Xenopus tropicalis: one gene and its partner. The protein of the gene in region 1 purifies or fractionates together with the protein of each later gene. This does not show direct contact. Links are inferred from orthologs where the notes say so. Each region holds a gene or a part of one and is shown on either strand. Other genes may lie near its edges.

Region 1 (4,543 bases):
CAAGCGGCAAAGCACTGCGAGTGCTGAGCTGCCACCCCGGCCGACGCGCCGTTGGGTCCCCTGAAGACTATGGGGACTGGAACAAGCCCAGCGGACATATAGTAGGTCTTGGCAGCAGAGTTGATCACCTGGTCGATGGCTTGCATGGAGAAGTTAAAGGTCATAAACTCACAGATGGGCCTTAGGCCAGCCTGTGTATAATCAGCACAATCACATCAGGGAACAGCCAAACTGAATTATAAATACTGTGGGAAAAGTGAGTTGTATCATGTACGTACCATGGCAGCACCTACAGCGATTCCAGCAAAGCCCATCTATAGAGAACAAACACAGGATCATTATTTAAACTCAGGGTCGGACTGGGCCGCCGGGACACTGGGAAAAATCCCGGCAGCCCAGACCCGACCCTTGCTGTGCTCCCTCTACCTGACTGCTCCTCCCCTGACGCGTTAAATTTACACGCGGTCAGGGGAGGATGCTGGGTGGGGGCCCCTGCGGGGGCTTAGGGGGGCCCCTGCGAGGGGGGGTTAGGGGACGCGGCTGGTGGGGGCACCTGCAGGGCACTGCACTCCCCAGTCCAACCCTGTTTCAACTGCAGGAGCCCATGGACAGAACAACAGACAAGTAAGAAATAATGTAAGACAGACTGCTGTACTTCAGAGCATTATATCCTAGAGCTGCACTGCCCAAATGTTACTTCTTAGTAGGGCCAGATAAGTCAAGGCCAAACGCATGGGCCGATGCTGACTTTAGCTACTTGTGATCAATCGCATCCAGTTAGTTGGCAAAAGCAATTCTATTGGTTCTTTCCATGGACATTCTGTCAGTCACTGGCAGCCAATATAAGCCCAAAGCTTATGGATCAGGGTTAGTACCTCAGACCCACAGCATTTATATATCTTTCATGTACAGGTTCATACCTCAGATATGGGAGTATCCATAACTCTCTTGTCCCCATACTTTTTCCAGAGCCCCCGACTGATCTGAAATGTAGACAGGGATTAGACTTTACATTTGAGCATTTCCATGTTTAACGTTAAGGAAATGGTACCTTATAGGCTCCATCATACTGGGCCACCTCCTCCCCGAGCAGGAACACCCTTTCATCCCTCTCGATTTCTTCATCTATAGCCTGGTTCAATGCATCCCGTACAGTCACCTGCAAACACACACAATTCCGTGCACCTCGTTAGTAAACACCAAGCAATATGAAAAGCATCGTTCCTAATTATCTGAGAAAGCAAGAACCTGATCTGGGCCCAATCCCATGGGTTTATTCTATACCTCATACTTTGTCTCTGCTGCAAACTGCTCACAGCCCCATCATGTTTCCCCCAAGGAGCCATCAGCAACAGATCCCTGAATGATTTTATTTCCAGCTAAAATTGTAAGTGCAGTACTTGTGTTTAAATAAATGTGCCGATGTGGTTTTACACAATGGGAGCGCGCCCCTTCTTTTATATTTATTTGTAGATTTCTGCCTGTTTGGGACCAGCAGATTAAGGCGGCAGCACCCCATCATGAACATTTATCAGAGCCATCAAATTACTTGGAGCATTTGGACTTTGTTTTTATGTATTCTGGCTTTAGTTTATAACACCAGTAAGCACTCAGTGCCGGATTTCCGTTTGGGGAGCCCCAATGGCTGCCCCACTCTCTGCCCCCCAGAACTACGTGCATCATTTTCGCTCACGTACGGAGCACTGGGGGACAGGACTCACTGAAGGTTTCTGCGCATCCCGTTTCCAGTGCTCCATATGTGAGCAAATTTCACTTGTGGCTGGGCAGCATGCCACCCATACATTTATACCGCCCTAGGCCCAGGCCTTTGTGGCCACGCCCCCTTTTGAACATACATAATCCTTACAGAGTCCTGTAAGACAAGGGCTTCCTTTAGATCTACACAGGCTGTCCAAAACCAAAAAGCAGAAGGCCTTTTTCCTCTCACGAGCAACAGTCAAATGTAAAAAGACTTGGAGAGCAACACAAGCACCATAAAAGTTCATGGAGGAGCCAAATAAGGGCTGTGATTGGCTATTAGGGGCCTCTATGCACCCTATCAGCTTACAGGGGGCTTTATTTGGTAGGAAATCTTGTTTTTATTCAACCAAAACTTGCCCCCAAGTCAGGAATTCAAAAATAACTCCCTGGTTTGGGGGCACTGAGAGCAACACCCAAGGGGTTGGGGAGCAACATGTTACCCCTGAGCCACTGGTTGGGGATCACTGGGCTAGACAAAGGGGTTACTTACATAGTAAGTTAGGTTGAAAAAAGACATACCTCCACAGCACCAGATTTGTCTTGCCCCTAGGCCGCCCCCATTCACAGCTCTCACAGTAATTAATCCTTTCCCATTTTTTTAAACTGAACCTTAACCCTTAAGCGCCTCGTCTCCATTGTAAACTTGCCCAATGTGGCCAATGACACTGCAACTCATTATTACACAGAGAATTCACAAAGATCATTAAACATAACTGCCATTGGAGTCAGTGTCTGTCTGGCTGTTCCAACCGCTGAACCAATGGCACAAAAACCAGATGATTAAAGGACAACTAGTACTATATTGTACTTATGTGGTCACTTGGTTCCCATGACAACCTCTGTGCAGGGGAATAGGGGAAGGTCACAGTGGGGGTCAGGGCTGGGCTGTCATTGGTTCAATGGAGTGACTGACAGCTCTGCCTCCCAATAGGCTCCGCAGAAGGGTTATACAGCCAGTGCAGCCGAGTCCCAGCAGACACTAGGGAGCAGCGGACTCTCCCAGCCCCACACCGAGCACAGGAGACCGGCTAAGGTACTAGGGGTTACCTGCAGGGCGGCCGGGGTGCTTCTGTGGAAGCTTCTCTTCAGAAACACGGACACCGAGCTCTGCAGAAGACAAGGGAAAGTGAAGCATTTAGTATCCATACAGAATAAAGGCAAAGGTCCCACCTGGCCCGAACTCTTAGTCTCTTTACCTTCCCTCCGCAGAACAAGCTCCTGAGGGCGGCCATCTTACTTCTGTCCTCTGGACAAAACGTCGCCCTTCGCGAACGCCTCTGCCAATAAAAATCCGCTCTCGGCGCTAGGCGGTCACCTGACGCAGCGCGACCAATGAAAAGCAAGGCGTGACTGTATTTCTGCGATAAACTTGACACGGCCCCGCCTACACAGAGCTTGTAAAGCGGGGAGGGAATGTTGCTGTGCAACAACCAATCAGTAGCGTGGGTTTGGGGGACGTGGAAGGGTAGTCGTGAGGGACAATTTTTTTAGTAAGTAATCCTTGTCGCCTTACGGGAGAAGGCTGCGAATGGGATGATTCATGCGAAGGGTGTGCGAGTGGGTAGGTATGAGGGTTTGGGGAGAGGCCAAGGCGGAATTACTGGGGCGGGGGGGGGGAGGCTTGGGGAGCACTAGCTGCTACATGTGCGGCCCGGGTACCGCTCGGAGCGTAATATCTCCGCTCAGCTGGGGGTTGTGCAATGACACTGAGGCCCCGGCAGGGGGGATGGAGCGGCCCGCCAGCTTTACTTCTATCATGTGGGCAGCACCGGGGTATTGGGCAGTGCGGTAATGACTGACCCCCCCCCCCCCCCCCCCTGTATAAAGCTTGGGCCGGGTACATTACTGGGGGGGGTGATAAAGTGACGTGTGTGGCACAAGCGCAGCGATACCGTGAGATATGGGGCTGCGGGGGGGGGGGGGATAATAATACAGGGGTGCGATGGGGTTAATACAGGGGTGCAGAGGGGGTAGGTAATACAGGGGTGTATAGAGGGGGTAGGTAATACAGGGGTGTATAGAGGGGGTAGGTAATACAGGGGTGCATAGAGGGGGTAGGTAATACAGGGGTGCAGAGGGGGTAGGTAATACAGGGGTGCAGAGGGGGTAGGTAATACAGGGGTGTATAGAGGGGGTAGGTAATACAGGGGTGTATAGAGGGGGTAGGTAATACAGGGGTGCATAGAGGGAGTAGGTAATACAGGGGTGTATAGAGGGGGTAGGTAATACAGGGGTGTATAGAGGGGGTAGGTAATACAGGGGTATATAGAGGGGGTAGGTAATACAGGGGTGCAGAGGGGGTAGGTAATACAGGGGTGCAGAGGGGGTAGGTAATACAGGGGTGCAGAGGGGGTAGGTAATACAGGGGTGCAGAGGGAGTAGGTAATACAGGGGTGCAGAGGGGGTAGGTAATACAGGGGTGCATAGAGGGGGTAGGTAATACAGGGGTGTAGAGGGGGTAGGTAATACAGGGGTGTATTGAGGGGGTAGGTAATACAGGGGTGCATAGAGGGGGTAGGTAATACAGGGGTGTAGAGGGGGTAGGTAATACAGGGGTGTAGAGGGGGTAGGTAATACAGGGGTGCATAGAGGGGGTAGGTAATACAGGGGTGCAGAGGGGGTAGGTAATACAGGGGTGCAGAGGGGGTAGGTAATACAGGGGTGCAGAGGGGGTAGGTAATACAGGGGTGCAGAGGGAGTAGGTAATACAGGGGTGCAGAGGGGGTAGGTAATACAGGGGTGCATAGAGGGGGTAGGTAATACAGGGGTGTAGAGGGGGTAG
Region 2 (3,817 bases), about 140 Mb from region 1:
AGATTGCTTTATATAAATTCCCATGTCCTGCACCCTGCTGCAGCCTGTAGCGCATTAAAAGCACCGGTGCGGGCGCGTTCCGGGTAACCACCTTCTGAAAATTCCCTTTCAGGGCATGTTTTCTGAAATACCAGCCAGCAACATCCGAAAAGTGATAGCCAAGAGGCTAATGGAATCCAAATCCAGCATCCCTCACGCCTATGCCACGACCGACTGCGACATGGGAGCCGTGATGCGACTGAGGAAGGAGCTGGCCAAAGGTCGGTATCGGGGCCTCCATGTAAAAATAACTCAATGGGGAACTAAACCCTATAAAAGAATATGGCTGGAAATTCTATATTTTCTACAGGTATGGGATACCTTATCAGGAAACCTGTATCCAGAAAGCTCAGAATTACGGGAAGGCTGTCTCCCATAGAATCAAATTTAATGAAATAATTCAAAATTTTAAAATTTCTAATTGATCTCGACTAAGATATAACTAATCCTTAGTTAGGGGCAATGATTCTATTGGGTTTAATTCATTTTTAAATTAGCAGGCTTAAGGTATGAAGATCCAAATTATGGAAAGAGCCCTTATTCAGAAAACCCCAGGTCCCGAGAATTCTGGATAATGGGTTCTACAGCTGTATACTGAACCCTAGTATCTTCGTCTAATTCTTTGTTTTAGCTTTAGTTGCCCTTTAAACTTACAAACTGCCGCTGCACTGCACCCACAGCAGATGTGGCGGCCACGAAATTGACTAGTTACACCTTGTTCTCTGTCGGTGTTGGACTGGGGAGCCCAGGGCCCGCTGGGGCTGCCACTTTAAGGGCCCACCACCTTCACAAACTCCCTCTGTATCCCATCGCAATTTTCCACTCCACGCGTGCCTCTTCTCTCTTCCAGGCCAGCAGGGGAGTGTGGGGGCCCACAGATCCAGGCCAGCAGGGGGGTGTGGGGGCCCACAGATCCAGGCCAGCAGGGGGGTGTGGGGCCCCACAGATCCAGGCCAGCAGTAGGGGATGGGGCCCGCAGACCCCAGGCAGCAAAATGGGAGAAAGGCAGTGGTCCAGTCCAACCCTGTTCTATGTACCTTCTGCTCTTGGGCTGCTCTCCTTCCTGTTGGCCAGAAAGGGCTTGTTCTGGCTGAGACAAGGTGCTTTTGCCATAACATTCATGTCTGTTGGTGTTTGGGTCCGGACTGTCTATGGCATCTTACAACAGCCTCTCTGGCATTTGCCAGAACCCACAGATTGCCAGTCCGGGCCTGAGGCTTCATCAAATCGCTTTATATTGCCCATAGAGATCGGTGTAAAGGCAAAAATCTAGTCAAGCCCAAGTCCAGTCCCCCGGAGTCTGAACAGAGGAAAGAGAGCAGCCCAGGTGCAGATTAAATTCTACTTCTACGTATTCCATTTATCTTGTCCTTTACAGCCACCACTATTCCTGGGCCCCAGCGGAGATTTAAGACCCCAGATCTGAAGCAGCCAATTGTATCCCGGCACCGGGTTACAGAGTCATTGTCTATTTATGTACCAGCTAAATCTCATGAGGGGGGGAATTGTCCATTTCCACCTCATTTGTTATTGCTTCAGACAGGGTTAAATATATCCCACACAGACCACCGGAGCACTACAGAAAGGCTTTATCTCTGTACAGCAGCGCGGTCTGTTTTTTCTTTCTTTTCAGATAAAGAAAAGCCTAAGAAAAATATATATATATATATGTATGTAATATGTTTAAACTAATCCAGTGCATTTTTGTATGGCTCGACTTAGCGCCACTAATGGAGGGCTTATCTGCCAATGCCATCTATCTGCACAGGACTCTTGGTACCACACTTTCAGCCTGAGATCTGGGTCACACATTACTTATTCACTGGCAATTAGGGAGAAATTTGATAGAGAGCTCTGCATCTCTGATAATAAGCGGTGATTTATCTGACGTTCTCTTCTCCTAGACAGAAATGTGCAGTAATATTGTTTTCCAACAACGTTGTTGTATATTTGTATTTATACATATGGGAGGGAGGTGCCATAGTGTCGCCATAGTATCGCTCTGTGTGCCCGTAGGTGGGGGATATCGGGAGAAGATCCGCTCGCTTGGTGACATCGCCAAGCGAGCGGATCTGCCCGTGTATGGGGACCTTTAGGCTCTGGTGGAACGGATTGTGAATCCTGAAAATCACCTGACTTTTTTTGTTGCACAAACACGGTTCTTTTTAAACCTAAATTAGGATTCGGAATCAGTTCGGTATTCAGCCAAATAGTTCACAAAGGATTGGGGGGGGTTTGGCTAATTCCTAAAATAGTGTATTTGGCGCATCCCTGAACCTTACAGGTCTGGTGAATTGACTTCTGACTACACTACAGTCTACAAGAGTCAGAACCAGCAGTGCAGACAGACGCTGCTCTTAATAGCAATTCCATTGCTACGGCAAAGATGCTTGGAATGACATTTTTTTCTTCATTAGGGTGGAGTTCCCCTTTGATTTTACTTTCCGTTCCTCTGTCCTGGATCCCTGTGCCCTTTATTCTGCCAAGCGGCATCTTCCTTCTCCAGTGAATCACCATGCAATGTGCGCTCGTTTCGGATTAATTAAAACCACAGCCTAGGGTGTCCCGATGCTGGTGCAGAGCGTGACATTTCCTTGGGGTAGGGACATTCAGCGGGGCTCTGCTCACAATTAGGGAGTCGTTTGGCGCTGCTGCTGCTGGAATGTATTTCCTTCTCACGCCAACTGTACTCATCCCTTTAAAATAAACAGAAAAGCCGCAGGAGGTCCCCATATTCCAGATTGTATTTTGTCTGTTTTGTACACAGTGACCCGAAATGACAAGGGGATGGGACCTTATAATAATGGAGTTATTTTAAATTAACCCCATGTGGTCTGTCTCTTACAAAACAAATAAGGGAAGTGATCCTAGTGCAATAGGAAAAGCCCATCCCACACCTATACCACTGGAAGGAGAGCAGCCAAAGGGCAGGAGGGTTAGTAGTGAGGACAACTGGATTTACATATACAGGCACCCTCACCAAGCCCATCCCACACCTATACCATTGGAAGGAGAGCAGCCAAGCAGCATTACCCACACTTATAGCATATCCCACACCTATACTATGGAAAGGTGAGCAGCCAAGGAGCATTACCGCTATACTGCCTGTGATCATTGCAATAGAAAAACACCCTCACCAAGTTCATCCCACACCTATACCACGGGAGGGAGAGCAGCCCAGGAGCATTACCCCTATAGTGCCTGTGATCATTGCAATAGAAAAACACCCTCACCAAGTTCATCCCACACCTATACCACGGGAGGGAGAGCAGCCCAGGAGCATTACCCCTATAGTGCCTGCGATCATTGCAATAGGAAAACACCCTCCCCAAGTCCATCCCACACCTATACCATGGGAAGGAGAGCAGCCCAGGAGCATTTCCCCTATACTGCCTAAGATCAGTGCAGTAGGAAAACACCCTAACCAAGTCCATCCCACACCTATACCACGGGAAGGAGAGCAGCCCAGGAGCATTACCCCTATAGTGCCTGCGATCATTTCAATAGGAAAACACCCTCCCCAAGTCCATCCCACACCCATACCATGGGAAGGAGAGCAGCCCAGGAGCATTACCCCTATAGTGCCTGCGATCATAGCAATAGGAAAACACCCCTCCCCAAGTCCATCCCACACCTATACCATGGGAAGGAGAGCAGCCCAGGAGCATTTCCCCTATAGTGCCTGTGAACATTGCAATAGAAAAACACCCTCACCAAGTTCATCCCACACCTATACCATGGGAGGGAGAGCAGCCCAGGAGCATTACCCCTATAGTGC

What was found.
Region 2: the proteins of pdhb (region 1) and pdhx purify together in Homo sapiens (affinity purification with mass spectrometry; 4 studies listed by BioGRID and IntAct, counting the BioPlex papers as one, with this or other methods). This does not show direct contact. The link is inferred for Xenopus tropicalis from reciprocal best matches to the Homo sapiens genes PDHB and PDHX.

Annotation. Positions count from the first base shown.
Region 1 is NC_030680.2:148,527,701-148,532,243, forward strand, and holds the start of pdhb (pyruvate dehydrogenase E1 component subunit beta, mitochondrial), read right to left. Parts: upstream 3,006-4,543; 5' UTR 2,994-3,005; coding exon 2,958-2,993; intron 2,869-2,957; coding exon 2,809-2,868; intron 1,160-2,808; coding exon 1,052-1,159; intron 984-1,051; coding exon 921-983; intron 315-920; coding exon 279-314; intron 192-278; coding exon 1-191. Other genes in the region: BTB/POZ domain-containing protein KCTD6, read left to right, coding at 3,295-3,322. UniProt on the Homo sapiens protein: The pyruvate dehydrogenase complex catalyzes the overall conversion of pyruvate to acetyl-CoA and CO(2), and thereby links the glycolytic pathway to the tricarboxylic cycle.
Region 2 is NC_030680.2:11,153,524-11,157,340, reverse strand, and holds part of pdhx (pyruvate dehydrogenase protein X component, mitochondrial), read left to right. Parts: intron 1-112; coding exon 113-260; intron 261-3,817.